Linked DNA regions of Lepisosteus oculatus. The protein of the gene in region 3 binds, or shares a complex with, the protein of the main gene of each other region. Links are inferred from orthologs where the notes say so. Each region holds a gene or a part of one and is shown on either strand. Other genes may lie near its edges. The genes, in order: plrg1, gpkow, sf3b2 and sf3a2.

Region 1 (7,535 bases), on a different chromosome or scaffold from region 3:
TAAATGAAAAGGTTGAAAGTAAGACATTTGAGTATTACATTGTACCCAAACATTTTTTTAAGTACAGCAAAGGATTTAAATGGTTAATGTTGGTTTCATGAAGCAACAAAGGATAAAGAATGTACTTTGCTTGACCAAACATTGCCTAAAACAACCAGCCCTGAGGTATGCAAGCACATCACAACCTGATGTCAAGGATGAACACATGAAAGTTAAACAACACTGCATTCTGTTTGTTTAAGTTTGGTATAATTCTGAAATACCTTCTCTGGCAACAGTTAGCTTTTTGCCTTTATCAAAAGATACTTAGCATTTTAACACAATAAAGCAGTAATTTATTTCTTTAACAAATGGATAATGATGCCAAATCTGTGTGTCTGTAAAAGTCTTTTTGTAGTATGCCAACTATCTTATAAGCCAATAATTACTTGATGCCTTATCTAATGACTTTCAAACAATGCAGATGGGATGGAGAGTATTTACTGTACCTACTGTAAATACAGTAATGACAGCCTATACTTCCTTCATTGTTAGAGTTTTACATACAGTATATTCAATACAAACAATGCATTTTATGACAGGTTGGCACTGTGCATCACAAAAAGAATCAACATAGATCTGATGTATCTACCAGTTCTAATATAATTGCACTTGAATTTCATTTTCATATATATGTACTTCAACATTTTTAAGAATAATGTATATAGGCTAATTGTATCTTGAAAAAAAATGTACATTTTAAACCTTTGGTGGCTTTACTCATTAGATGGAATGACAGCACCATTTCCTGTTTTGTTATGCAGTATATACAATAAACATATAATATTTTTATACTGTTTTTCTTCACGTCATATCAGCAGGAAAACATGGGCCTTCTATGACAGCTACGTAGGTACTTGATGTTCAATTCTTTCATTTTGTTTACTTAATATTTCAGAAATATTGTGCAAGCATACATCCAGTCGGTTAATCACAGTGGACTTATTTGTCTGCCAAACTCCCACACAGAATCTAAACATTTAAATCATGCTGTTTTTATGATTACTATTTTGAAATAAAAATGTAATGAGCACATGGCTTTTAGTACTCAGTATCATAGGAATTTAGTTAGATAGTGAAATTAACTAAATGAAACTAAATGAAAATGAAAAACAACGGTAATTGAGAAATATTTGTCCACCTACTATAGGCTTAATTATCGCATTAACAGAAAAGCAAATAGGTGCATTGATACCATGATTGTCAAGTTATTTGATCCTGTTCAGATCCTACACAGGAGAGCTTTCAGTCTATTTATTTTTTATATATAAAACCCAGACTCTAAACAACAAAATAATAACAAAATGATATCTCATAGCTACCACACACCAAAGTGACTGCATGTACAGTATGGATCTTTTTTCTAATCATAAAAAATGACTTGCATTTTTATAACACTTCTCATTCCAGATTATCTCAGCATTACATTTAGGACATTGCAAGTTGAATTTTTTAAAATTTCAGCAATCAATTATCTTACTGTTATTTTACTATTTCTATAGTGCCATTTCATATTAAGCACTACAGTATATGAGAGCCTTTTAAAAAGTTACATTACAATGTGACTCATTGTATGCTTAAAATACAAGGATAAAATACAATTTTTATTAAAGTTAATCAGCTAAATGAACAAGCTAATGTATTCCAACTTCAGCCAAATGTTTCTAGGACAAAAAGAGGTGACAGATTTAAACAACATTAAATTTAAGAACTGAGAATGGCATTAAAAAAAGAAGGGACAATTATAAGTGGAAGGCAGTCTAGAGAACAAAGGTCATCTTGGCTTGGATTACTGGAGCCTTTTCTTCAAGGGAAAGCAAAAACAACAGGTTTTTCCCAATGCAGATTTCAACAAAGAGAGGTCAGGCATCAATTTTATCATGAAAAGGGGAGAGTTTTGAAATTACATGTAGTCTTGGGTAGACACTGGACTCCTGTACATGAAAGGTGAGTCAAGAAACAAACATCTTTACTGAAACTTCTTCCCTGACAGGCATAAGTAAAAACAGACCTTTTTTGTTTAAAGTGACGATTTATATCGTCCCTCATGACTTGTTTTGTGTTATATTCTTTCAAACCTTCTGCTATCTTAAGTGTAGGTAGCCGTTCACTTTACAAACTATTCATCCTTTATGGAAATGGTTTTAAAACAACACATACAGTGTAGCTATTTCAGTCATTTTGCTTTGCATCACTGAATGCATTCTTCTGCAGTTTTGTCCCCTTCTTCTTGCCTACAACAGCACCCTCCTAGCTCATCTCAAGTCTACTACCACCTCCCAGTGGTCTTTCATCCAAGATGATGGCTTTCTTACAAAGCCATCTCTCACAACCTTTCAGTGTATTCAATAGAATCTTCACATAGTAGCACAAAACAGAAAGGCCCTTCTAGTACAATTATAGAAAAGCCTATGGCAATGGCTACATTTGATGCTGTATTTGTTCAAATGCTTCTGATGCTGAGTAGAGGCATCTTATATGGCAGCATGGACTCCCCTCCACCACTACCAATGTGCAGCATTCACCTGGATGATGCGACGGCAGCCATAGTGCGCCAGAACGCTCACCACACATCAGCTATCAGTGGGGAGGAGAGCAGAGTAATGAAGCCAATTCATCGAAGGGGATTATAAGGAGGCCATGATTGGTAAAGGCCAATGGGAAATTTGGCCAGGAATGCCGGGGTTACACCCCTACTGTTTTCGAGAAACGCCCTGGGATTTTTAATGACCACAGAGAGTCAGGACCTTGGTTTTACGTCTCATCCGAAGGACGGATGAGACGGATGAGACTCTATATGTAATACCTCACATATAGAGTCAGCCACTATCAGTACCTGCCTTTACTGAAGGAATGGGCTCCTGGATGTCCAGGGGCATAACATTTTCCTATGTGTCCTTTGTTTTCCTGCGGTCTGTCTCCAATAAGGCCTTGAAATGGCTGAACTCCAAAAGCTCTGAGGATGCCACCCCTATGGGGTGTGTCTGTCGTTTCCTCTGACTGCTGCCTCTCATCACCCAGTTATCTCCCTTTTTTATGTTTCAAGCCTGCCTACTCATGGCATGCACACAATCTCCCTGTAGGACACTTCAACTATTGCCTGCAAAACCTGTGTTGCATTGGGGATCAGAGAGCTGAGTTTCACTTCCTTCATACTGTATGTCTAGACAGTTGTTTCCATCAACTGTCTTGTTATCTCTACCACAATATTCTCTATACAGTCATAAATGTTATCATTATATTAGAGTGTACTCTTAAACATTGTAATACTATAGTAAAAACAATATAATCCATTGGCTAAAGGAAAAATTCACTGTTATTATTGCATGCTAGAGACTTTGCAGTAGCAATATAGGCACAAATTTATCAGCTACTGTATAATGGTCAACACATAAAATGAAGAGATTAGAGGGTGAGTTGTGTCAGTGTGAAAGCTGCAAAGGAACAAGCAAAGTCTATTTCCATAGTGAAAACTAAACATAAAGAATAAACACATTTTGGATGTTGATAATTTTTTATACTCTACTTGCCACATCTAAAAGCTCCACAGCCTTTTTTCATACTTACTGTAAATGCATGTATTTATTAATATGTGAGCTATGAAATGTATGATAAATGTGAAATCCCTACACAATGTTTTATCAATTCTCAAATCGTTACTATTATGCGTTGTTAAAAAAAAAACAGTAGAAACATATTTGTATGTTTACTTCAGTTGGTTTATTTTTAGTAAATAGTTTTAATTCTCCATTGTCCAAAACCTTGGTCTCCAATACTGTCCCGGAGAGCCCCAATTGAAAACATTTCAGTACCTATAAGGTATTTTCCAAAGGCTTGGAAAACATCTGTGAATAATTATTCAGGTGACTCGTTAAATTCTGTATTGTAGAGTCCACATGAAACAAAATTCTAAGTACTGTACATTCTAGACCTCAGCTAGGACCAGGGTTACTTTTATTGAATAAATTACTTTCTTGATTGACCAATCTGTTCACAAGCCTCAGAAAAGTGTGACTTACAGTGATCTACAGAATTTAGGGGACTGGACCAGGGTCTAAGATGCTTCTGCTAGAGCGTTTGGTGGTTCAGTGTAATTGTAAGCAATCGTAATTTCTTGTATTTTATAGCATTTATTGCCCATGTTTATAATGATGGATAATTTTTTAATTATTTTAATTATAACTATATATTTGGTATATTTTTAGAAGTTCTGTGGACATTTTTTGCTCTTAAAAACTACTGTATAACATCGGTATATACGTTATTGTAACAATGAAAATTGCACCACAAAATCAAATGTAGAATACATATTAATATTCAATTAATGGCAACATTTACTGTATGTATGTACTGTAACACTCTTAACGAATATATTTTTGGCCTCCGCTACAGTAGAAGTCGCTATAGTACCACTCAGTAGGAGTGTGTCGATCTCCTAACAGTCGAGATTTGATTATCCCCGGAAGCGGAAATGAACGCAGACTTTCCTTCCTCCTGTATTCATATTGTGTGCGCGCTGTTATTTGTTGGTGGTACGTTTTCGAATAGTTAAAAAAAATATATTTAAAAAAGTAATCGAGTGAAAAGGATTTGTCTTCAGCTATGGTGGAGGTAATTAATTGTTTATATTCTTTCTCGTTTTGTTCTATGTTTTGATTTTTCAAAAGGAAAATATGTTTGAACTTTGAAATGAAATGTATTGTATAGGCCAGTATAATGCATACGCTTCTTTCTTTTGTTTTAAAAGGTACGAATTAAAGGTTATATAAATTAGAGACTATAGATCAGTTGTTTTGTTGTAGAATCTTAAGTAATTAACATCTTCTGTAGTAGTTAAGATTTGATTATGGTTATGTTTTCCCCCCTCTGGTGTCTTACTATGGTGTTTTAGTTGTGTGTGATTGCTCGATAAATACGAAATAATTGGCTGAAGCGGAATCTGAAGGTCGTAAAACGGGTCTTAGTATGGATGTATGCGTCTGAATAGCGATACGTTTATTTAAGATTTTCAGTCAGTTTTCATTGATGTACTTATTTGTAAATATAAATCAGTATGTCAGTCTACTTGGGTAGAGAGAAGACTCTTAAGAACATAAAAGGTTACAACATTTTCTAGTTAGACGTTTACTTATCCACGTATATCATCCCGCGGTTTCTTGAAAGACTCCAAGGGTATCGGCTTCAGCAGCGGCGTTGAGTAGCTGGCTCTGTGTGCCCCTTGCCTCTTCTTCTGCATTTTAAACGCTTGTTTTTAATTGTACTAATTTTGTTACATCTTCTCCTTGTTAATTTTTTCTCTTATGGTAAAGCCCTTTGATAAGTTCCTTTTAAAGAAACTGTCTAAAATAAAGTTTATTATGATTGTTCCATACTCCCCCAACCCTCTTTGTAAAGAAGTGCCCCACTTTTTTTTCACTCACTTTCACGGAGTTTCCACCCGTGTCCTCTGGTGTTTCAATATTAATTTTGAAGAAATAATCTGGGTTGGTTTAGCAGTGACGTTTTCGGAAGAGGATTTTGAATGCTTGCATCTAGTATTTTATCAAATTAATTAGATGACAATTGGGGTGATATGTGATCCAGGCTTGACGTTTTGACCCACATGTGCAGCACATTGTAAAAACATTATTCTTCCACCTCAGAAATATTGCCACACTATGTCCTATGGTGTTGCTAACTCTTGCTGACAAGCTGGTCGTCACTTTCGTTTTCAAGTTGGTTAACCCAAATTGATTACTGTCTTGCCCTACTCGCCAGTGTCTAAATCCACATTGAAAAAATTATTATATGTTCAGAATTCAACAGTATCTGTTGTATGCTCTCATTTTATTTATTTTTTCTGTAAGGTGCTTTGTGAAGCCACAAAGTCACTATAAAATAAAGGCATTTAAAGGCACTACATAAAATAGTTTCTTGCTATTAACTAGTTAGTGTGGTTAAAACAATTCAATAGATTTTCAAGAACCTATATTCAGGCTGTGGTGTTTATTAATATACTGAATTGTAGCTGTTATTCCAGAAATGTTTTACAATCATGCCTGCCCTATAATATCTTCTAGGAGGTACAGAAGCACTCTGTGCACACACTGGTGTTCAGATCTCTCAAGCGCACTCATGATATGTTCGTGGCTGATCATGCGAAGCCCATTGATATGGATGAAGAAAGGTGAGGTTTTAAATGTATTAATAGATACTATTTGTAGTATTGCTACATCTTGAAAACTTATAAGATCTGTCAAATCCAACTTTACAGTTTTCACTTTCCAGTGGATTTCAGTGGTATTCTTGTTGTTTGTGGTGGCTGATATCCTAAGACTTGTTGAGCTTTGTCAGCATTGTAATGTGAAGAAAAACTACAGTAAATCCTTCAAAGCGTGTGACCCTCTACATCAGGACCACACCAGGGACTCCACTACACTAGTTTGATTTAACCAGCTCTTGGAATTGCTTTATTAATCATAATACTAATAATTTAGCGATGAAGTAATGATCTGGTGGTAGCACAGTTTGGTATTGGAGTGGAATGTAGAGCCTATAGGTTGTGTAGCCCTGCTCAAGATTGTAGGTATCTCATATCTTACATGAGGTGTGTTTAAAAATAAGATTGTATTACTTGTGTGCTGTGCTCTCTTAAATTTTTAGTAGTAAAGTAAAATCAGAAACTGGGAGCAGAAAATAATTATGCTTTAGGTACTGGTATAGCTGTTTTCATATCTGGAATTTTGAAGTTGTCCTTGTTTGAAGATCTTTAAGTAAGGAATAAGAATTATTATACATTATGCTTAGAAAAATATACAAGAATACTAAGCATGTAACTTGATACATAAAATGGTCTCATCCATAAAATGGATCTCCAGTCCATTTCATGTAGGGCTGGTGTGCTTGCAGGGTTTCCATGTCTCTTTAATGCTCCAGCACCTGAATAAAAGCTGGGAACATCTGTTAACATGTCCAGATAAGTCACAAATGATATGTTAAAGGTTAAAACGAAAAACTTGTGAACAAGATTGGGGACAGCTGTTTTTTTTTTACTTGAGTCCGCAACTGAGTGCAACTTTTTAATGGTGTTTTCAAGCCCATCTAATTCATTTTGTTATAAAGCTTTGTACTGAGTTGCTCACATTTCACCTAATGCTATCTTATGTCAGCCACAAGGTCAAGATGGCCGTCAAGTTGCGTACGGAGTACAGTGCTGTGCTGCACATGCCAGTTTTCAAAGAGGGCAAAGACAAGGGCTCCCTCCAGATCTCTGACCCCTATGGCCAACAGAACTTCTCTGCAAACCCTGGTAAGTGTCTCAGGTTACAGGCATTTCTTCAAAGGTTTTTATTTTGTTTTTGTGTTGTCTTGTTGTTCTTGTTTTGTTGAGTTAAGCCAGTTATATTGCAGAAACATTGAGAGAACAATGACCGGATATAAATAATAAGAAAAAAAGAATCTGAGCACCTTTTCATTTGACTTTTTTCAGGGCATGATCCAGAGTATCTTATTACTGG
Region 2 (7,431 bases), on a different chromosome or scaffold from region 3:
CTTCTAGTGAGAGAGCGGTACGACCATCCAATCACTCCATCATCACTGGTGGTTCAAATTCAATGTTTGATGGCCAGATCTTTCCAGGTTCAAGTAGGCTGGTCACTTTGCAAACGGCTAAGGCTCATTCAAGATTCGGGGTTCAGTCTGTAACCTCTGGACTGCAGGGATTCATCCTGGACTGGTACCCCCTGTGACCTCCAGTCTGCAGGAGCTCATTCTGGACTGGTACCCCCTGTGACCTCCAGTCTGCAGGGGATCATCCTGGACTTGTACCCCCTGTGACCTCCAGTCTGCAGGGGCTCATCCTGGACTGGTACCCCCTGTGACCTCCAGTCTGCAGGGGCTCATCCTGGACTGGTACCCCCTGTGATCTCCAGTCTGCAGGGGATCGTCCTGGACTGGACTGGAAACCAGTCCTGTAATGGATGATGAGGAGTCAGGCAGGGCCCCCTCTTCCCACTTCGCAGGAGAGACTCAGTGGAGCCAGGCTGTAATCTGAGCGTGCCGTATCCGGGGCTGTGCTGACACAGACAGGACGGGACAGCAAGGTGACCCGAACAGTGCAGAGTCCCGGTCTACACTCGATATCCCCCGATCCCATCCCCACCTTCAGGTTGATTCTGTGTCAAACACTGCCCACCTTCCAGATCCACGCTTTTTCTTCTTCTTCTTCTTCTTCTTCGTCTTATTATTATTATTATTATTATTATTATTATTATTATAGTGCAACACTGTACAAGCCTGGACACAGAAGCGACTATCTTCTTAACGGAGTTTTAAAGCAGCACAGCCAATGTTTCGAGCCAGTGTCCTCTTTGGTGTGAAAGGCACAGCGAGTGGCACCAGTGTGACATCCCGCTGAGACAATCGGATCGCTGTGAAGCCATCTGGAGGATAAAAACTTTCTCAGAGTCTTGTCTCCAGCAGCACCCCTGACAACACGGGTCTGCCACGAGCTCTGAGAGCTGACCAGCCCGAAGAGGCGAATCTCGCGCTCAACAAAAACCTTTTTTTGAAAAATATACAGTATATACTGTATATAAAAATAAAAACAGACACATATAAACACAGAGGGGAAAAAAAAGTTCCTCTGATGATGATGATGATTTTACACAAGTATATGTATGAAATTAAAAAATAAATGAATTGGTTTTGATTTCCGGTCCGGTCTGGCTAATGCAATGAGGCCCGGCTGAATTAAAATCAGATCCGTCTATTTTCTGACCACGTCTATTAATTCAGGGTCGCAGGGGAGCTGGGGCACAAGGCAGGGTACACCCTGGACGGGACGCCAGTCCATCACAGGGCAGACAGACATAGACACACACGCACTCTTACCAGCACCCATCAGCCAACCAGCATGTGTTTGGACTGTGGGAGGAAACCCACACAAACACGGGGAGAACATGCAGACTCCACACAGACAGCACCCCAGGTCTGAAATTGGACTCAGGGCCCGAGTGCTACAATGCAGCAAAGCTGACCCCTGCGCCACCGAATTAAAATTATTTTAAAGAAATACAATGAAATACTCTAGTACTGTTTCTAGTGCTACTGCCAGTGCAGAACCAATAAGAACACTGCAGAGTCCCCCAAAACAGGACAATTTAACCAGCTTTTCATAAATCACTTCCGCACCTCAGTGGTACAAATACAGCATCAGACATCTGCACGAGATCCTGCCAAACCTGCACAAGCCCAAGGTGCCCCAGGCAGCCCTGTGTCTGTGTCAGCTCCTCGTTGAGGCTGGTGCTGTGTATCAGTGGTACTGTCTCGGTATCAGGGCAGCGTGTTTAATGAAGGGGAGGACTCTGGGCGGTCTCCGATGATCCTGATGGAAGTGACAAGAGCTCAAAAAAGACAAACGTCAAGCGCCTGCCCCCCTTAAACCAGCAATAGCAGAGTCCCCCAGAGATCCGAGTCAAACCAATGTGGGTGCACTGCACCACACACACGTCCAGGAGACGCTACCCAATGGGCACAGCGAGCAGGCCATGGGTCTGGGATCAGGCGACCGCTGTCTGTCCTCATCACACACAGCCTCATTAGGGATCTGTGGGAGGCAGCGGGGCTGAGCTGGGGACAGTCAAAAAGAAAGGCTAGCAGCCAGTCCAGTTTTTTTTTTTCCCCATCAGGAAGAACACCACCATGTCGGGCGGTCATGAGTCAACCTGTATAAAGGGGGACACATGGGTTCCAATCTCCACATAAGTTTAGATCCCTGTCAGGAAAACACCGGGAACACCTCTGATCGACCCATCACTTGTCTGGAAGAACGACCTGCTTTCTCTTGGAAATCCTACTAGGCAACCCACTGAGCTAGAAACACGCTGAGCCTACCCCATGAGCACCTCGAAAAAGATCATTTTCAATGCTTAATAAACGTCACTTTCAGTTTTTCAGACTAGAGGATCGCTCTTCATTTACGCAGGTTTCTGTCCGTGGCAGTTAATGATTCAACATCCACCGTGTTGTAAAACCACCTCATAAAACACGGTATGGCTCTGGGTAATCGGTAATCGCAGATGCAACACTGTCTCCCTGTACTGTCAGGCAAACGGGCTCAGCTGTGGCTCGTTTAAATAGCTTTCAGGGTGGCCCGGCGGAAACAAAAGCATTATCCGGTCACCACGGACGGTAAATTAAAAACATATCGCAGTATAGGAGGTACCACACCTTGGTGTACCCCGATAAATACCGTTTTACTGACAGATGTGTACAGAGCTACACTCCCCTTTTCGTTAATGTGACAAACCCTAGTGCTGGTCTGTCTCCTTACTAGTAAATGAGCCGGGAAATCTGCGGAGTTAATTACAGTGTAGCTACCCCGTCCTTTTCCACGGTTTATTACGGCTAAATTGTGTTGTTGTTGTTTTTTTTCAACGCGGCATTGGTAACGAGCCCGGGTCCTCAGTTAAGGGAAGCAGTGAGATTTGACACACAGAAATACACCAATCGTCTTGACAGTAGAGGGTAGAAAAAAAAACGCCGAATGCTAATGACTTGGGATGTTTTTATTTTTTATCAGAGAATTTGAGATACGACGAATCTCCTCACAACCTCACACAGATCAGACGCCACACACACCAGATTGCGAAAAAAAAACATAATCGCTGCGTTCGTGAAAAAAAAAAATGAAACTGAACACGGTATTATTCTTCCAAACTGACTATTTCACACACTCCAGCGGACACACCGCATTACGTTATTAGCAAGACATCCTCGTAGACGTATACATGACAGATCCGTGTAGGAAATTTACTCATCCTTACGACACAGGCGTGTGAAATGCACGACCACATCGTGTATGTTGTATACGGCAAGCCGACAAAATCAAACACTTGCGTTAAAAAAACCCACTCCGCCTCGGCAACTGTCCTGGCCCGTCTCACACGTCGGACAGGCTTGTATAAGCGGTTTGGGCGCCCAAACGAAAGGCAGTTTATCCAAATAAATAAATAACACGTCCATATATTAATATTCTACTGTACATCGACCTGACCCGAGCGGTTGACCCCGATCAGTAACGCAGCGGGTCCCTATCGGGGATGAGACTAAATGGATTATTTTTAACCCCCCGTCCCTCTCTCCCTCTGTTTGTGTGTGTTGATTTATTTAAAAAAAAACACAGGCCGTGTATATAACAGTGGATTATTACTATATAATATTAATTTCACACTTGGAAGTCGCGGACAGCCGACGACCCGCTCTTTTCCCAACGGCGGAGCGCGAGACGCGTGACTGAATTTGGGGGGGGGGGGCGGTCGAAACAAACGCGTCCGTTTGACATAATTCGTTTAACAAATCGGTCCCCGTCCCCGTATAAAAAACAAAAACAAAACATCTTTATCGTCACCCCGCTATGAGAAAATGACAACAAATAATGTCGGTAAGAAGAAATCAAAAAATATCTTTAACAAAAAAAAAAACCTTACCTTCATCGTTCCTGCGCCTTCACAACCTATTCCCTCGTCTCGGTTCCGTACTTCTCCAGATATTACTTAAATATTCACATTCACATGCGGCTGTGATGCTCCTTAGCGCCGTTTTTGTATCATAATGATCATGCTCGGATTAGACACGGGCGGCGGTGCTACTGTTTTGAGAGAAAGGTGTTCACTCTCCTGCTCCTGCGGCAGGTCGCCATGCCTGAGACGGGCGATAGGACACAGGTCAGAAATTGCATTACATTTCATTACAGTCTACAATAAACAGCGGCGGCGATAATGAGAGAAACAGAAGAAGAGGAAAAAACGGAGACCCGCCTGTACGGGCAAGGGATTGGACGAGGCTGGTGTACTGTATGTGTGCTGGCTCTGTGTGTGTGTGTACAGATCTACAACCGCACCGCTTCGCTTTAAAATCTCTTGCCTCCAAACACGTCCAATTAATCCCCGTCCAGTGATAACGGTGGGCAGCGGGAGAGGGAACCAAGGAGCTCGGCTTTTAAATGAACACACACACACAAAAAAAACCCAAAACTTTTATTTTTTACAGTACAGAACAGCGATAAAACCGACACAATGAATGCGAGGGGGGGAACTGAAGGTCAAACGCGCTTGTAACGAAGAATAAATTCATACATTCAAGACAAACGACGCCAGTACGTGTTCTTGACCTGACCTACATAAAGCGATAATAAAAATATTATCCTCATTTGTATACCTACTAATTTCCGCCGCATGCCTTAGTGAATATTTTTTCGTACTCTGGCAAATTGGGGCCTGTTTTCTCTTTTAATTCATTAAATCAAACCTTCAAAATATAATAATGTGGGCATAGTTGAATTATTTCGGGTATTTCGCTTGTTATTCTATAAGCAGATGCGTTAAGCGACAGATAAAAAAAAACTGTGCTTCAAAAAGGCAACATGACTATGGAGCTGTGCGTTTATTTTCTAAATACAATATATGACAAAAATATATAATGACTGTAACTGTAATCGTTTTAAACTGAAACGATTCTGTTTCCAGTAGACTGGAAATAGTCAGCGCTAAGAAAAATCCAACAACCTGGTTAGTCTCCATAGTGATAGTCTGCTGTGACCTTGCGTGACCCGAAAAACTAAGGCTGCATTGTAGGAGTTGTAGTCCCTGGTGTCGATAACGTTCATTACCGTGCACGCCTGAGCAGGATGAAAAGGACTACATTCGCCAGGGGCACCCGCGAGCTGGCTGCCGGCTTGTCGCGGCTCGGGACCCGAGGAGGAAGAAATGGCGGACCCCGACAAACTACGAAGTGATGCCGGCGAGAAACACGGGGAAGTCGGAAATGGGAGCAAAAAAAGGGAGGCCGCCGCCGGCCCCGTGTCTTTTGGCTTCAGCAAAACCGTCAGCAAGTTCAGAGTTCAGAGCTCCGCCGAAAAAGTGGAGGAGAAAGACTACCTGACCGGTGTAGAAGGAAAGGAGTTAAAGAGGTATGGCCGAGAGTAGCGCTCTACATAGGGTACCGGGGTCTCAAAGACTTTCAAAACTTAACCTCGGGGTGCAAAATTTATTGTAGTGTTGAAGTGTAGTAATTTCGCTTTTTGTTTCTTTCTGGTTGTATGTCTTGCCTCTCTTGTGTTGACTTGATTCGGGGTGTTCTGGTGTCTTTTCCTGCCTGCTTTTGACTCTGCATCTCGGTGCGCTTGGGTTCGGGCGTGTCGTCTGCGCTTCTGCGTCCAGCACCAGACCAGCGGAGAAGCCCAAGGAGCTGGTCATCCCGCTGATCCACAAGAACCGGTGGTACAAGGGCGAAGGGGCCAGCAGGACGGCCAGCGAGACCTGTCCGCAGCCGCCCAGGGAGGAGGATGCTGTGGAGTCGCAGGCCGTCAAGGAGCTGATTGAGGGTACGTGCATCAGGCTCTCCCGGCGTAGCCCACTGGACCGTTTCGGGTTTCACCAGCTTCAAGGCTGTTGCGCGCGTAAACACAGCTGGGCGGCACGGTAGCAGTTCCGGGGTCCTGGGTTAATTCCTGCAGGCTGTCTGTGTGGAGTTTGCACGTTCTTCCACGTTCATGTGGGCTTCCTCTGGATGCTCCAGTTTTTGGAGTCCAGTTTTCTGGGAAAATTGGTCCTGGTGTGGGTGTGTGTGTACGGCAGTGTTTTTGTGCCCTGCCATGGACTGGCATGCCGTCCAGGGTGTAACCCACCGTGCGCCTGTTGCTTCCTGGGATGATACCCACCTCCCCCGGACTTGAATCGGACGAAACAGTTGGAAAATGGATTGATGGGTGAATGCTCTAGTTTGTGTTTCGGTGTTCATCCTGTTGAAGTCCACTGGGTTGACTCTGTCAATGCCTTTGAAGATTTTGAATACTTTAATAGGGTCCCCTGGTAGTCTCTGTTCAAGACTACAAGAAAAACTGCACTTCCTTTAACCTCTCAGTGTAGTAAGTTGGTACAATTCACTCCACCAGTAACCAGCCAGTGCACAAGAACCCACTGCTTGTTCGAAGACTGAAGTTGCTCCGTCAGCTGAGCACCAATCTTGTTTCTGTCCCCTGCTGTTCTTCGGGTTATTCTCCTCCCAGTTCTCCTGTTACACCCTGATCTTCTTCTTCCCTGACCGCTGCTAGAACTCCTCATTTGATGTTATCATTAAAGTGCTTTCTTTCCAAGGGGCATTGCTGGGAACTTAAAATGCATGGTAAACTGTCAGCCTAATTTTAATAGTCTGTTAATATATAAATGCGTGCATCTGGTAGCATTAACAGAAACCTGTTTAGAAGAGATTCAAAGAGGTTTCTTACAACCATTGTTTTAGTTTCTTTAATTACTCCTGTTGAATGGAAAAGCATTATGTGTCACTGTCTCACGGACACCATGTTTGTGAAGGGATGTGCTCTTCTTTAAATAAAATGACGCATCCAGGCTGTTATTGGAATCTTTTACTAAAATGTTTTTTTTTTATGGTGATTTATAAAAGCACTTTAATCCTGTAGCTGCCTGGGTCTCTCCAGAGTTACACCATTTTGCAGTTAGTGTAGGAATGGAAAGATTTCCACTGCACTGACGTTGGTCTGAGTTGCTAATCTGAGTTTTACGAGCTCCAGGCTCTGCTATGTAAACCAACACCAGCCAGCCTGGCCTGCACCTCCCCGGTCCTGAAACGAACGAGGCTCCTGTCCAGTGGGAGAGTCTTATTGTCTTATTTCCACCCCGTCTTATTGTCTCTCTCTCTCCTCAGAGTCCCAGCGGCAGCAGGAGTTGTGGAAAAATGGCGGAGCGGCTGACCTGAACCTGTCCATCCCGCTGCTGATGCAGAACAAGGCTCCCGAGGGCTACGAGGACGGAGACAAGATCCAAGTGGACCTGCGGCCCGAGTCTGTGAGTCGCCGCCCCAGCCCCTGCTTCACAGAGCAGAACCAACTAACTCAGCATTTGATAACCATTAAAAATATTGTCATTCCTGGGGACTGTCATTCTCTGAGTTTCCCACAAATTG
Region 3 (6,904 bases):
AGGGGGCGTCCGCAGAGGAGGGGTCCAACGGCAGCCCGAGTGAAGCAGAGACCCCGGACCGCCAGGAGGGGGGCCGCACGGACACAGGGGCGCCAGACGAGCAGGAAGATCCGGAGAGCGACGGAGAGGAAGAGGAGGAGGAAGAGGAGCGAGACAGCGAGGGGACAGACTCCGAAGACGGAATCGTCAGCTCCCCGCTGGGCGTCAGGTGCGAGCTCGGCCCGGACCACCCCGGGTTGCCCATTTCCCACTTTCCTCCCTACTATCTGTCAGAGGCAGCTAGCGCCCCCATCTGGTTCAGCACCGCCAGTGGCCCAGTGCCTCCTCCGCTCCCAGTCCACTCCGTGCCAGGTTTTCCCAGGAGTCGGCTCCCTGGTGTTGTTGGTGAATTGATTAATCCAACCATCCGTTTACCAATCGCTTTCCACACACGCACACACACCCACCAGGGCCAGTCCATCACAGGGCACGCACACACACACACACAAAAGGGCCAGTTTCCCAAAAGAAGCCAATTCACCTCCCAGCATGTCTGTAGACTGTGGCAGGAAACTGGAGCACCTGGAGGAAACCCACTGAAGCCCAGAGAGAACATGCAAGCTCAACACAGCTCCAGAATCGAACCCAGGGCCGCCCTCATTCATAAATCAATTACACAATTAAGACCCTGAGCCACGGCCCCTGTACTGTGGGGCATCCGGGTTTCGCGATCCCCTGCCCGTGTCCAGCTGTTGACCTTTCGGTGGGTCGATGTTGTGTTTTTCCTGAGAGGCGTGCAGGTCAAGCAGCAGGGATATGACCTGGGAAGATCCTGCTGGGCCAGGGGCAGAGAGCTCCTGCCCCCGGCCGGATCCACAGCTCACCTGGGCTCTTCTCCACCACAGCAGGGCGGCGCCAGAGAGCAGCGAGGGCCGCCGGGAGACGGGCGCGGACGCCGGCGGCCTGACGGGTGGGTCCCTCACGGCCACGGATTGATGAGATTGATGCGATTGATGAGATTGATGACTTGATTGATTGATGACTGATGATTGATGATTGATGACCGAAGATTGATGATTGATGACATGATCTACCGATGCCGTCTGGAAGTGTGAGGGTGCAGGTGCACTGAAAATGTTAACAATCTAAAACAACCTTTAATGCCACCTGTTTTTAAAGATCGACCTCGCGGTGAACAATTAAACCCCTGATTGGTCAAATTAACCAATTTAGGGATTATTGAGGACTGAGGACCTACGTCCTCTTCAGTCCTCAAGGACTGCGGTTCTCTTAATGGAATAAACCACTGGCTTGGCCATCAGGAGCTGACAGGCGTGTCCAAACTCTAGAAACAGGGGGACCTGTAGGACACACTGGGCTGGGGCTCCCCAGGAACAGGGCTGGAGACCCCTGATTCAGGGGGACCTGTAGGACACACTGGGCTGGGGCTCCCCAGGAATAGGGCTGGAGACCCCTGATTCAGGGGGACCTGTAGGACACACTGGGCTGGGGCTCCCCAGGACCAGGGCTGGAGACCCCTGATTTAAAAAAAAACAAGAATATTCACCACCAATGAGAAACCCTTTGGATCTTGTCCAGCTGTTTCTTCGACGACATGGCTGGGTAGCACTGTGTGTAACGTAGTCACTCCTGTTGTGATCCCAGGATCTCTGCTTCCTGTAAGAAGCCCGGGCATCGTCTTCAACACAAGACACAGGAGGAGGGGGAGAGGGCGGGCTGGGCCGTCCTGCTAGGTCTCTCCTTAGCAAAATAGCGTCCTTGCACTGAGCTGGTTGCTCTGTTTGTCACCCGACCCAGGGTCTGTGGTCAACTCCGAGGGCATCGCGGGTCAGCAGGGGAGCTCCGAGGAGGAGGAGGAAGAGGAGGAGGAGGAGGAGGAGGTGGGTGGGGGCGCCTCCAACGACATCAAGAGCAAAGGGGACGACGACGACGACGACGACGACAATGATGATGATGATGATGATGATGATGAAGATGACAGCGATGAGATCGAAGCTCTCCTGGCTCCGCAGGAAGATCCCAAAACGTCTTCTGGTCAGACGTGAGTGTCCTTCCAGCGACAGTCCACCTCCACGTCCACCAGCCTCTCGCTTCCACTGGCACTGGTGTGTCAAGTGTGTGTTAAAAGCGATGTTAGAATGAGGATTTACGTGCAGAATTCAGTTCCAGAGATCCTTCTGTGTGGAGTCTGTATGCCCCCCCCCCTCCCTGATCGTTCCCGCCAGCGCCCGCCTCAGTATCCGGGCGAATGAGCTCATCGAGGCAGCTCAGAGTCACTGACAGGGGCTTTCTCCTGGCAGAGCCGAGGAAGAGGAGGAGAGCCGCTCCGGGAGGAAGGAGGGGTGCCCGCCGCCTGTCCCTGCCGCAGAGGAGCGCCCCGGGGGCACGCCGGACAGGTGCGCGTGCGCTGGGGCTGGGGGTCTGACCGCACAGGAACGCCCTCTCCCGATCGAATCCGTCTGAAAGGCCACGGGCCATTTCAAGAGGTGTCTGCAGTCTGGGGAGGGGGGCCCCGCCAGCCCTGGTTTTGGGGAGACAGGTGTCTTGTGTCTCTCTCACAGATGGGGGTGCTGTAGCTCACAGTAACGGGGAGCTGCCAGGTCCCACCAGCACCAGGGAATGAGAGGCAAGTGAACACCTGTTCACCACCATCCACATGTACCATGTTTTACCCTGATCTCACTGGGCTCTACTGCGCTGTACTGTGTTTTTACCCCTATCTCACCGGGCTCTACTGCGCTGTACTGCGTTTTTACCCTGATCTCACTGGGCTCCACTGCGCTGTACAGTGCTTTTACCCTGATCTCACTGGGCTCCACTGCGCTGTACTGTGCTTTTACCCTGATCTCACTGGGCTCTACTGCGCTGTACTGTGCTTTTACCCTGGTCTCACTGGGCTCTACTGCGCTGTACTGTGCTTTTACCCTGATCTCACTGGGCTCTACTGCGCTGTACTGTGCTTTTACCCTGGTCTCACTGGGCTCTACTGCGCTGTACTGTGCTTTTACCCTGATCTCACTGGGCTCTACTGCGCTGTACTGTGCTTTTACCCTGGTCTCACTGGGCTCTACTGCGCTGTACAGAGGACCACAGTGAAGTTCCTGAAGTCAGTCAGTAGAATGATCTCTAAGGGATGTTTCTTTCTCTTGCACTTTCAGGGTGAATCACAGCGGCACTCTCACTGCCCAGGGCAAAGGTCAGTTCTGCTCAGTGGTAGCTTGCTCTTCCCCCCGAATGAGCCCTAGCTGTCCGCCCTGGCTGGTCAGTGACCGTGTGTCCGTCTCCTGCAGCGCTCCGGAGGGGCTCCGCGGACAGCAGCGATCCGGGAACCGAGGCTCCCGGTACCCCGAAGCCCGGCTCCGCGCCCCCGGAAGTGCCCGACGAGTTTGACGATTTTTTCGACTGAGAGAGAGGTGGAGAACACTGCCGCAGCACCCCGAAACGGGTCGGTCCTGGTCCTGGGGAGGCCGCCAGGAGCAGATGGTCCAGGACAGGACCGGACCAGACAGACCCTGCGGGGGCTCTGGAATGAGGAAGGGTCAAGCTGTTCAGAATAAACATCTGTCCACAAAAACTGCTTCAGTCAGATCCTTCGTTAGTTAATCAGCAAGATGGATGTATAGAACTGCGGTTGGGTGTTTCTGTGCATTGATGCTGTGTGTCAGTGTGTGAGGCCGTGCTGTGTGCGCGTCAGCATGTCTATGTGTCAGTGTGCGTGTATGTGTGTCAGCGTGTGTGCGACAGCGTGTCGCCGGGTGTTAAAAGATGCTTGTGACAGTCCCATTCTTCATCAGTGTGTCCGTGTGCTAAAAGATTATAACATATTTATCAGTATTACAAATCTCTAGGTTTTTTTGGGGGGTCGCTTTCATGTAGGTAGAAGAACTGCATTTGATCTGTTCGGAAAGTGACTCGGTTTTGTGGCCGCCTGCTAGAACTACAAATCCCACAAAGCCGCAGGACCGCCGTTTCCGGTCGCAGTTCCCATGATCCTCTGAGAGCGCTCGTTTGGTTTCCGTTCCTGCCTCGCTTGTTGTTTCTGTGATCCAGCCATGGCGACTGATGTACCGCCCGGCACCGAGCAAGCTCCGCCGGACCTCGGCAGCTCCGTTGCTGCCCTGAACACATGGAGCGTCCAGGAGCTTCAAGCCAAGCTAGCTGAGATTGGCGCCCCCACAATGGGTAAGTGTAAAGCGCGGGCTCCGTGGAGGGAGGGAAAAGGCCGAGGCCTTGCGCCGAAGCCTCGGGCTCGAGTGGTCAGTCCACCCGAGCAGGCCGGCCCCAGTGGCGGTGGGCGGGCGTCTGGGGAACCCGGCGTTCAGGTTGCTCGGTTCATTTCTGTGGCGTACCCTGTATCTTGTACAGAACCGCCAGAAACACCTCATTTCATTCAGGTTTGGCGCCGCGGAGTCTCCCGGTGAGCCTTTAGTTCATGAAAGGGGGCTGTGATATAAGATTGCTTTTAAAGAAATTGCTTTCGTTAGTTGCTTTAAACACCGGAGGCTTAACAGACCATCCGTTGATCATCTCTGTAGCTATTTATATATATTTTACGAGTCCTGCAGTTTCCCAGCTCAGCTGCAGAGCCAAGTGAACCCCAGACCTCGGCCCTGCAGTTTCCCAGCTCAGGTGAACCCCAGACCTCAGCCCTGCAGTTTCCCAGCTCAGGTGAACCCCAGACCTCAGCCCTGCAGTTTCCCAGCTCAGGTGAACCCCAGACCTCAGTCCTGCAGTTTCCCAGCTCAGGTGAACCCCAGACCTCAGTCCTGCAGTTTCCCGGCTCAGGTGAACCCCAGACCTCAGTCCTGCAGTTTCCCGGCTCAGGTGAACCCCAGACCTCAGCCCTGCAGTTACCCGGCTCAGCCCCAGAGCCAGTAGAAACCCAGGTCTCAGTGCATTACATACTCTATCAGAATTTAGGATTTGTTACTTAGACAGAACCAGTACACTCTCTCAGTCAGCCTGGCGGAATTGGGGGTACTTGTGGTTATCTTGTGCTGTGGCTGGGTCTTTGCTCAGTGACAGTTCTGAAGTCTGGACTGATGTTGTCTCTGTCCTCAGGCCCCAGAGAGGAGATGATTGACAGACTGAAGGCCTATGCGATGCAGGTGAGTATGTTCTGTCAGAAGTGATTGATACAGTGACCTGTCTCTCTCTCTCAGTTCAATTCAAGATGCTTTGTTGGCATGACCAATGAATACATCCGTGCTGCCAAAGCAAATACAATTAACATAAAATCTATGGATGTTTTCAGGAATTTCACAATACAGACCCATCTAAATAGTTACATGCAAACATCTGGAGCATTACTGGAAGACAGGCTAACTGTTCCTCAGGCTGGGACAGGAGGTCACACACTGTATTATTATTGAGAGACAGGCTCACTGTCTGTTCCTCGGGCTGGGACAGGAGATCACACACTGTATTATTATTATTATTGAGAGACAGGCTCACTGTCTGTTCCTCAGGCTGGGACAGATCACACACTGTATTATTATTATTATTGAGAGACAGGCTCACTGTCTGTTCCTCAGGCTGGGACAGGAGATCACACACTGTAGTATTATTATTATTATTATTATTATTATTATTATTATTATTGAGAGACAGGCTCACTGTTCCTCAGGCTGGGACAGGAGATCACATACTGGGCTACCAGTTCAACTGAGTTCCCTCCTCCCTCTCCCAGTAGGATTGGAAGCTATTGTGATTCTGGTAGGTGTAGGAACTCTGGGATTAGATTTGTAAATTTCTGGAAGAATGTTTCTCTAATCCCGGAGTATCTGTCACAGTGCAGTAGGAAGTGCACCTCTGTCGGTGTGGCTTGGGTCAGGGAGCCTCAGGACCAGCTGGCTCAGGGGGCTCTGTTTTGGGCTCAGCTCTTGGCTCAGCCGGGGTTTGTGGTGGTAGGAGTTTTGATTGGTGTTTTTTAGGTGTAGTCAATACTTTAATACTCTTTACTGTATGTTTATCAATAGTGGGTACTGTCTTAATTCGGCCCTGCACCCGTTGTTAGGTTTCTACAGATCTCCATGTGCAGAGTTTTTGTGGGGTGTTTGTCCCATTGAGTGTACTCCTGGTCTGTGAGGGGACCCCACACTTCACTGCTGTATAGGGCAGTGGGTTGGATTACACTTTGAAATATTTGGAGCCAGATTCTTGTTGGTGGGTTGGTGTTGAAGAGCCTCCTTCTTATTGCGTAGAAAGCCCTGAGTGCCTTCTCCCTCAGTGCCTTCACTGCCAGGTCAAAACTCCCGGAAGAGCTGATAGTCAGACCGAGGTGTGTGTAGCTGGATGTGTGCTTCAGTGTGTTGTTGTTGAGTGAGAAGTGGTTCTTGTTTCCCTGAGGCCTGGCTTTCTTGTGAAAAACCATGACTCTGGTCTTGTCCAGATTGACTGTTAGTGCCCAGGTCTGACAGTCCTGCTCCAGCAGTGCCAGGCTCTGCTGTTCTGGGTCTAGATGGGCTGGCAGTGCCCAGGTCTGACAGTCCTGCTCCAGCAGTGCCAGGCTCTGCTGTTCTGGGTCCAGATGGGCTGGCAGTGCCCAGGTCTGACAGTCCTGCTCCAGCAGCGCCAGGCTCTGCTGCAGCCCCTCCCCCTGACGTTGTGTCTGCCGTTCCAGACGGGGATGATGCTGACCAAGCCCACGCTGCAGGCCGGTGACGGAGATGTGGTGGCCCCCCTGCCGGCCCAGGTGAGTGTGCCCAGGGTGCGGGAGGGACCCAAGCAGGGAATTTTTAAGCGACTCCCCGATAATAATGTTGCCCTTTCTGCCCCCCCCCCACAGATGCCCGGCCTGCCCATGCCCCCCATGCCTCTCCCCCTGCCCCCTCCCCCTCCCCCGGGGATGTTCCCGGCCCTGGGGATGATGGGGGTGCCCCCGCCCCCTGGCCTGCGCATGCCC
Region 4 (7,009 bases), on a different chromosome or scaffold from region 3:
CAGGGCCAGAGAGACAGGGTCACCCACAAGTAGATACAGGCAGGGCCAGAGAGACAGGGTCACCCACAGGCAGGGCCAGAGAGACAGGGTCACCCACAGGCAGGGCCAGAGAGACAGGGTCACCCACAGGCAGAGAGACAGGGTCACCCACAGGCAGGGCCAGAGAGACAGGGTGACCCACAGCAGATACAGGCAGGGCCAGAGAGACATGATCACTCAGACAAAAAGGCAGAGACAGAGAGACGCACAGGCAAGTAAACAGACAGTGAGCCAAGCCGACACTCACACTAACACAGGTCAGAGAGACAGACAGGTCAGAGCAGGGTCTGCAGGACACAGGCACGCAGACGTACAGACGCAGGCAGACAGCAGCCGAGACGGGTCAGAGTGAAAGAGACGGGCTGAAGGAGACGGACGCTTTGACAGCTCCACACACACACAACCAAAGAACATGAGCTCCACTCACAGGTTGGTCTGATGCTTCTTCCCTTGCGTGTGCGCCAGGTAGCTACCCTGAAAAACAAAGCACAGCGAGGCAGCGGCGTTAACCCCAGGCCGGGACAGCGGGGGGCGCTGTGCTCGCAGGTCGCCCGCTCACCTCGTTGTTGTGCAGCGTCAGGCACAGTTTGCACTCGTAGGAGCCCAGGTGGTTCTTCATGAAGTAGGGGTCCTTGTTGATGTCGATGGTCTCCAGGGCCAGCTGCCGCAGGCGCTCGCGCCGGTCCCGGTTGCTCTCCGACGCCGAGGCGACCCCCCCGCTCCCCGTCTTCCCCCCCGGCCGGTGCTGGAAATCCATCCTGGCGGGCGCGCGGGCTCAGGGACACGCTCTCTCTCGCTCGGCCGCGGGTAAAACACCGGGCCCTGGGGGGGTGGGGTGGGGGGAGACACTGGTCAGACTCTCACTGCTCCACCAGTCCAGCACCACCAACAACAACAACAACAACAACAACCCACCACACAGATGGGACCCCGCGGCGCCCCACTCAGGAAAAATAATAATCACTCATTGCACTTCTATAGCGCTTTTCTGGACACTCCACTCAAAGCGCTTTACAGGTCATGGGGATCCCCTCCACCACCACCAGTGTGTACCCCCACCTGGGTGATGCGCCAGTCCGCTCCCCACACACCAGCTCTCAGTGGGGAGGAGAGCAGAGTGATGAAGCCAGTTCAGAGAGGGGGATTATCAGGAGGCCATGATGGGTAAAGGCCAGGGGGGAATTTAGCCGGGACACTGGGGTAACATTTTTCTTTTTGAAAAATGTGATGGGATTTTTAATGACCACAGTCGGAACCTCGGTTTTACTTCTCATCTGAGGGATGCATTAGGGCCTACTTGTCCCACTAACACCTCTTCCAGCAGCAGCCTCAGCTTTCCCAGGAGTCTCCCCTCCAGGTACTGGCCAGGCTCACACCTGCTGGGCTCCAGTGGGGCTGCCAGCTGGGAGCCGCAGGGTGATATGGCTGCTGAAAAAAAAAAAGACACCTCCTGAAAAACGGACAAGGTGAACTCACAATAAACACGGCTGTGGGAAAACTTTCCCCACAACAGGGACCTCCGGCAGAGCTGGGGGCAGTTCCTCTGCTCGCTTTCCACAGCTCTCCACTGGCCACTGGCGCAGGACTGGAGGACGACAGACGATGACTTGACGATCGGGCCTATAAATACATTGAATTAAAGTTTAATCCACATTTACAGCAGCGTTTTAATCCGCGGTTAACGTTCAGGGCTCTGAACTTCAAAACAGAGGATCGTTGGAACCAGAGAACCAGCAGATGCTTATCTTATCACTAAGAAACTTCATAAGCTTCAGAAACCCGCGATTTAATGGTGAACTATCGGGGGTTTGAGAAGGAGCTGCACAGCCCCGCCAGAACACCAACAAGTAGTGATTAACGAGTAATTAATGGATAACGCAACTTAATACATCTGTAACGTACCGTAATTAATTAAAAACCGTGGACAAACAGTTTAAAGTCGATGCCTTTCTCACACTTAATCTAAAACATTACACGCAGACGTTTCGGTCACTGAATAATTTTTAAACCGGAAAGGTCACAAATAGTTACGTGAAGATCGAAGGGCGCTAATATTGATTACAGAGAGGATTTGTTAATATCTTATTTGTTAAAATGAAGTAATTTTATAATTCCTAAAACAAAGGTTACATTGTAAGAACACTCCCTTATTAGATAATTACAAATCTCACAGTGAAATGTTATTTTTAAAAAGTAACAACGAGGTGTCCCGAATCTAGAAACAAATTTATCTTAAAAGCTACCAAACTTAGCAAACCTTAAATAGCATGTACAAGCACCCAAACTATTCACATACATTTACAGTTGTAAAAATGTATTAATTTCATTTTTAAAACAAGTATTGTAGACATTATAAGTAACATTTCGAACGACTACCTTACCAACAACACACGCTTGTAACTTCCGGTCAAACAGTACATGCGCAGGGAAACCAAACTTTATTAACAATCTCTTCGCTGTGACATGACCAGTAATTCAAAATAACTCTTCATTTAATTTTGTTAATGCGGCATATTCGGACAATTTTTCAAATACAAAACCTGTCATTTCAGAAACTGTCCAGTTGTGTATGTTTTAAAAATAATTGCACCAAAAACGTGTTCAAGATCACATTTGTCACATGACATTTAAAATTGACTACATGTCCCAGAAATCCTGCCACGCAAACACGACCGTAGAAAGCGTTTGGCAATCTGGGATTTGTAGTTTTTTCTTAATGCGAATTAAGGACGGAGTGAATACAATAGCAATTGGTTTACACATTTATTAAGAATAAAAAAAGAGAAAAATAAGACTACGGCAGCCACTACGAAAAATTAGCCACGAGTGGACGAGACTATTAAGACGTAGTCTGTATTTTACTATGGCTGGTATTTAACGCGGAAAACCCTCACCGCTGACCACCGTTTCCGGGTGCGGAGCGCAGCTGTGTCGCAGGGGAGGGTCCGGTCCGGCGGTGGAAAACCGTGACCCCGGGGTCTGTCTGCCTGTGAGGCCGCTAGACTCGCAGGGCGGAGCGGTGGGCAGGTGTGAGAAGCTGCGGAGAGAAACGCGCAAGACCCCGTCGCCTGGTAACGCGAGTCCGGCTGTCCCGAGTGGGACAGGGATCGCCGAGATCCGGGTGGGTGTGTGCGTGCGTGTGGCAGCCGGAGCGGACGGCGGTCGCCGGTTTCCCGGGGCGATGCCAGGCCGGCGGTAGCGGCGCGGCGGCGGAGGAGGAGGAGGAGGAATGCGGTTTAACGAGAGGGAGCTGGTGTCGCTCAGCCGCCAGCCCTCCGAGAGGGCGGCCCAGCTGGGCATGCGAGGACCCAAGAGAGGCGACGGTACGGACGGGCACACGGGGCTCTCCCTCCCCTCCCTTCTCCCTGCCGCTCCACGCGTGTCTTTTCCGTGTCCACTTCCCTGTCTGTCTTCGTCTCCCTGCCCTGCTGTCGCCTGTCCTTATCCGTTAGGTCGCAGCTGTACTCATGAAACGGTGTTTGCTTATAACTGGGACTCGGCGCTCTGTCTCTTTCTGTCCTCTAACTGGACCGGTTTCACCTAACCGGACATGAGGCTCATTTCTACTAACCGGTGTGCTTCTTGTCTTCGCATTTGTTTTCCCAGCTAGACTGTTTAGTCTCTTTGTTTTATCTTACAAAAAAAAAAATCCAGGCTAAAACCGTAACCTTGCCGAGGGAAGGGTATGAAGATGGAAGGAATTACGATGTGTAAAATGTTTCCAGGAGGTCTGCAGCTCGGAGATGCTTTCTCAGAGTCTGCGGCCCCCCGAGATACACACCATTGTTTTCTCTTTCTGGCACAGAAAGGGAGCTATTTTTTAAGGAAGCGCCCGTCTGCTGTCTTATCGCAGTTATTTATAGCCGCTGCCCCCCCGTCTGGCCCTGTGGGAGAGGAACAGAAAAAGTGAGGGAGAAGAACAGAGACGGAGACGTGCTTTCTGCTGCCCTGATCAGACAGACAAACATCCTTCCCCACAGTGACTAATCTCAGCCCAGCATTCCCACACCTACCAGACCCAGAACAGCTCCCGATCCTGCTGGGGAGCCAATGCAATCGAGCTGCAGCCTGGTGTGTGTGTGTGTGACACACAGCGAGCCTGTGTCATATGTGAAATGGCCAAGCTGTTGTGTTAATTGTCATGTTTGGTGGCACTGTAACCCATCGGTTGTGCTAGTGAAGCTCGCTGGAATGGTGGACCAGCAGAAGGACAGGCCAGAGAGAGAGAGAAGGAGGAGGAGGAGGTCACAGTTGCCAGGGGAAACCGGTCTGGTCCAGTCCGCCTGGCTCCAGCCCGCGGGTCACATCTTGAGACATGGCCATGGACACCTAACTTGGCGATACTGGCGTTGGGCGACGCCCCTTGGTCACCTGTAAGAGCTAAGACCTTAGCCGGAGCCCAGCAAGCATCTTGCAGTAGAGGGACATTGCGCTGGTTCTGATCGGGATTCTCGGGTCCAGCCTGCTGGTTCTGGTTCTTGTTGCTCACGAGGTCGGGGCCCTGCTGGAGCCGGTCTCCTCCGATGAGCCGCGCGCTGTGGGGTCTGTGGGACGAGCTGTACCGTGCGAGTGCGGGGAGTGCTGCTCGGAGCAATGGCTGATCTCTCTCTCTCTCCCCCACCCCCCCCCCCCCCGTCTGTGTCCCACAGTCATGAAGAAGAGGCTGGTAAAGCTGGTGGTGAATTTCCTGTTCTACTTCCGCACAGATGAGGAAGAGGTAAGGGTGGGGGCGCAGGGGCGGGGGCACCCGGGGGAGACGGTGAGGGCTCGGTGTGACGGCTCTGTGTCCGACTGTCCATCTCTCTCCAGCCTCTGGGAGCCCTGCTGCTGGAACAGTGCCGGGTGGAGAGAGAAGACAGCCAGGCCTTCTCCATCAGTGAGTCTCGTGGGCGTTTGGGGCTCTGGGCCCGGATCCCATTCCAGTCCGGTCTGGTCCAATACACCCAGTTCATTCCAGTCTGGTCCAACACACACCAGTTTACTCTGGTCTTGTTCAATAGAACCCGGTCTATTCCAGTCTGCTCTGGTCCAGAACAACCCAGTCCATTCCAGTCTGGTCCAACACATTCCAGTCTGTTCTAGTCTGGCCCAATACCACCTAGTCTATTCCATTCCAGTCTGGTCCAGTACAACCCACTCCATTCCAGTCCAGGGCTCTGTGTACACTCTAGTGGAGTTGAGGGTTAAGTCCAGATCAAGACTGGTAAGACCTGTGCAGACCTGTAGTCCAGTCCAGTCCAGTCCAGTCCAGTCCAGTCCAGTCCAGTGCCTGGGCATTGTCTTCCTGATTGGGACCATTCCTCTCCGGTGTCCGCAGCCTTCCTGGACGAGTCGGAGCGGAAGTACCTGTTTGAGTGTGACTCTCAGGAGCAGTGCCAGGATTGGATGGACTCCATTATCCGAGCCAGGTCTGTCTGTCGATCCGTCCCGTTTGTCCCAGTGGGAGCTGTGGTGGGTTCTGAGAGTGTTCAGACTTCTTGGCGCATGTCTGTGTGATGTTTCCCTGTGTGGCGTCTCCCACAGCTATGAGTCCATGAGGAAGAGCCTGATCTTCTACCGCACCGAGATTCAGAGAATCACAGGGAAGGTGAGATACATCTGCTCAGTGCAGTGTTGATGTACTGGAGTGTCCAGTCAGTGTGTCTGTATTAACCCCTCTCTCTCAGTGCAGTGTTAATGTACTGGAGTGTCCAGTCAGTGTGTCTGTATTAACCCCTCTCTCTCAGTGCAGTGTTAATGTACTGGAGTGTCCAGTCAGTGTGTCTGTATTAGCCCCCCTCTCTCTCAGTGCAGTGTTAATGTACTCGAGTGTCCTGTCAGTCAGTCATTAAGCTCTATGTCTCTCCCAGGATCCCCTGGAGCAGTATGGGATATCGGATGAGGCTCGTTTCCAGGTTAACAGCTCCCTGAAAGCCAGCGACAAGGCGACCTAACAGCGGGGACACCACACCCCACCTCCCCTACAGCCACACGGGGCTGTTCTTCACACCTGCTACCCCACTGTAACCACACACCCGAGAGCACAGTTACCACGTCCACCCCACCGAGAGAGAACTGACCTTTCCAATCGTCTGCACTGTGAAGACCGCTTTCACAGGATCTTTCTGAGAGACCTGGGTCACGAAAGCAAAAATTGGATCAAATGTGCATGCTAAACATTTGTCTGAATTGAAGTTGAAGTTGGCAATTGGGTCTTGATCCTGAAAGCCTTGTTATATAATCTTCTAGTGCTTCTGCACTGGACTTGATGTATAAGATCACAACCTGTGTGCATGTTTTCTAAAATGTGATGCTCATTTCTGAGGTGTCTGGAATGAGGCTTCTGTACTCTGCCAGTGTTTTGTGGAGAGAGCAGTGGATTTCTAGGCTCTTACATGAGGCCTATGTCACTGTGATAGTTTGATATCTTTGCTTGAGGGGGGCCCTCTCTAAATAGTTTCAGTGTTTGGAGACAACCTGACGTTTTTAAGTCGGGTAACTACTTCCCTCTGAAAAAAAAACAAAACGCTTGTTTAAGTAGAGTTTGATTGCACCCAGATTTGCAGTTGTGTACATAAGTGCATACAAAGTCTATTTTTTTAAGCAAATTCTGTAGACATTTATTTTCTTTAGCATTTTCTTTCCAGGTACCTTTAAAATCTAAAAGGCTGTATTGATAAAGTGTCAGTATTTCTGTGCACATGTAACTCCTCTGGATGCAGCTGTTAATGTGTGTGGGTTTAGCGTGTTAGTTTTGTGTGAACTACGTTGTGTCCTGTTTCTAGAAAGGAGGAGGGAACTCCTTGGTTCTGAAATTCTGTTGTCATGCAAGATTTAGTTTTTAAATTGCCAATTTCTGGATGCAGCCATTCTTAACTGCTGTTTTGTTTAGTTTTTTGACCACTTATAAAAATAATTTAAGAACTCGGAGTGAAACCATGAAGGTTCTGGTTACAGTCTTTTAGGACCAGAGCTGGTTACACCTGCGTGA

What was found.
Region 1: sf3b2 (region 3) and plrg1 share a complex: the UniProt entries of both Homo sapiens proteins name them as parts of the minor spliceosome. The link is inferred for Lepisosteus oculatus from reciprocal best matches to the Homo sapiens genes SF3B2 and PLRG1.
Region 2: sf3b2 (region 3) and gpkow share a complex: the UniProt entries of both Homo sapiens proteins name them as parts of the minor spliceosome. The link is inferred for Lepisosteus oculatus from reciprocal best matches to the Homo sapiens genes SF3B2 and GPKOW.
Region 4: sf3b2 (region 3) and sf3a2 share a complex: the UniProt entries of both Homo sapiens proteins name them as parts of the 17S U2 SnRNP complex. The link is inferred for Lepisosteus oculatus from reciprocal best matches to the Homo sapiens genes SF3B2 and SF3A2.

What each region holds. Positions count from the first base shown.
Region 1 is NC_090696.1:24,676,259-24,683,793, forward strand, and holds the start of plrg1 (pleiotropic regulator 1), read left to right. Parts: upstream 1-4,525; 5' UTR 4,526-4,641; coding exon 4,642-4,650; intron 4,651-6,098; coding exon 6,099-6,205; intron 6,206-7,187; coding exon 7,188-7,327; intron 7,328-7,507; coding exon 7,508-7,535. UniProt on the Homo sapiens protein: Involved in pre-mRNA splicing as component of the spliceosome. Component of the PRP19-CDC5L complex that forms an integral part of the spliceosome and is required for activating pre-mRNA splicing.
Region 2 is NC_090697.1:75,065,415-75,072,845, forward strand, and holds the start of gpkow (G-patch domain and KOW motifs-containing protein), read left to right. Parts: upstream 1-4,425; 5' UTR 4,426-5,216; coding exon 5,217-5,419; intron 5,420-5,669; coding exon 5,670-5,833; intron 5,834-7,173; coding exon 7,174-7,313; intron 7,314-7,431. UniProt on the Homo sapiens protein: RNA-binding protein involved in pre-mRNA splicing. As a component of the minor spliceosome, involved in the splicing of U12-type introns in pre-mRNAs.
Region 3 is NC_090713.1:22,562,865-22,569,768, forward strand, and holds the start of sf3b2 (splicing factor 3B subunit 2), read left to right. Parts: upstream 1-3,881; 5' UTR 3,882-4,052; coding exon 4,053-4,182; intron 4,183-5,061; coding exon 5,062-5,108; intron 5,109-6,622; coding exon 6,623-6,694; intron 6,695-6,787; coding exon 6,788-6,904. Other genes in the region: collagen alpha-1(I) chain-like, read left to right, coding at 1-208, 780-949, 1,798-2,041, 2,301-2,396, 3,159-3,196, 3,291-3,406. UniProt on the Homo sapiens protein: Component of the 17S U2 SnRNP complex of the spliceosome, a large ribonucleoprotein complex that removes introns from transcribed pre-mRNAs.
Region 4 is NC_090724.1:8,582,245-8,589,253, reverse strand, and holds the start of sf3a2 (splicing factor 3A subunit 2), read right to left. Parts: upstream 3,024-7,009; 5' UTR 2,934-3,023; intron 2,499-2,933; exon of another isoform or gene 2,421-2,498; intron 1,660-2,420; 5' UTR 1,516-1,659; intron 862-1,515; 5' UTR 797-861; coding exon 599-796; intron 514-598; coding exon 467-513; intron 1-466. Other genes in the region: plekhj1 (pleckstrin homology domain-containing family J member 1), read left to right, coding at 3,269-3,362, 4,689-4,756, 4,849-4,915, 5,357-5,447, 5,563-5,626, 5,889-5,972. UniProt on the Homo sapiens protein: Component of the 17S U2 SnRNP complex of the spliceosome, a large ribonucleoprotein complex that removes introns from transcribed pre-mRNAs.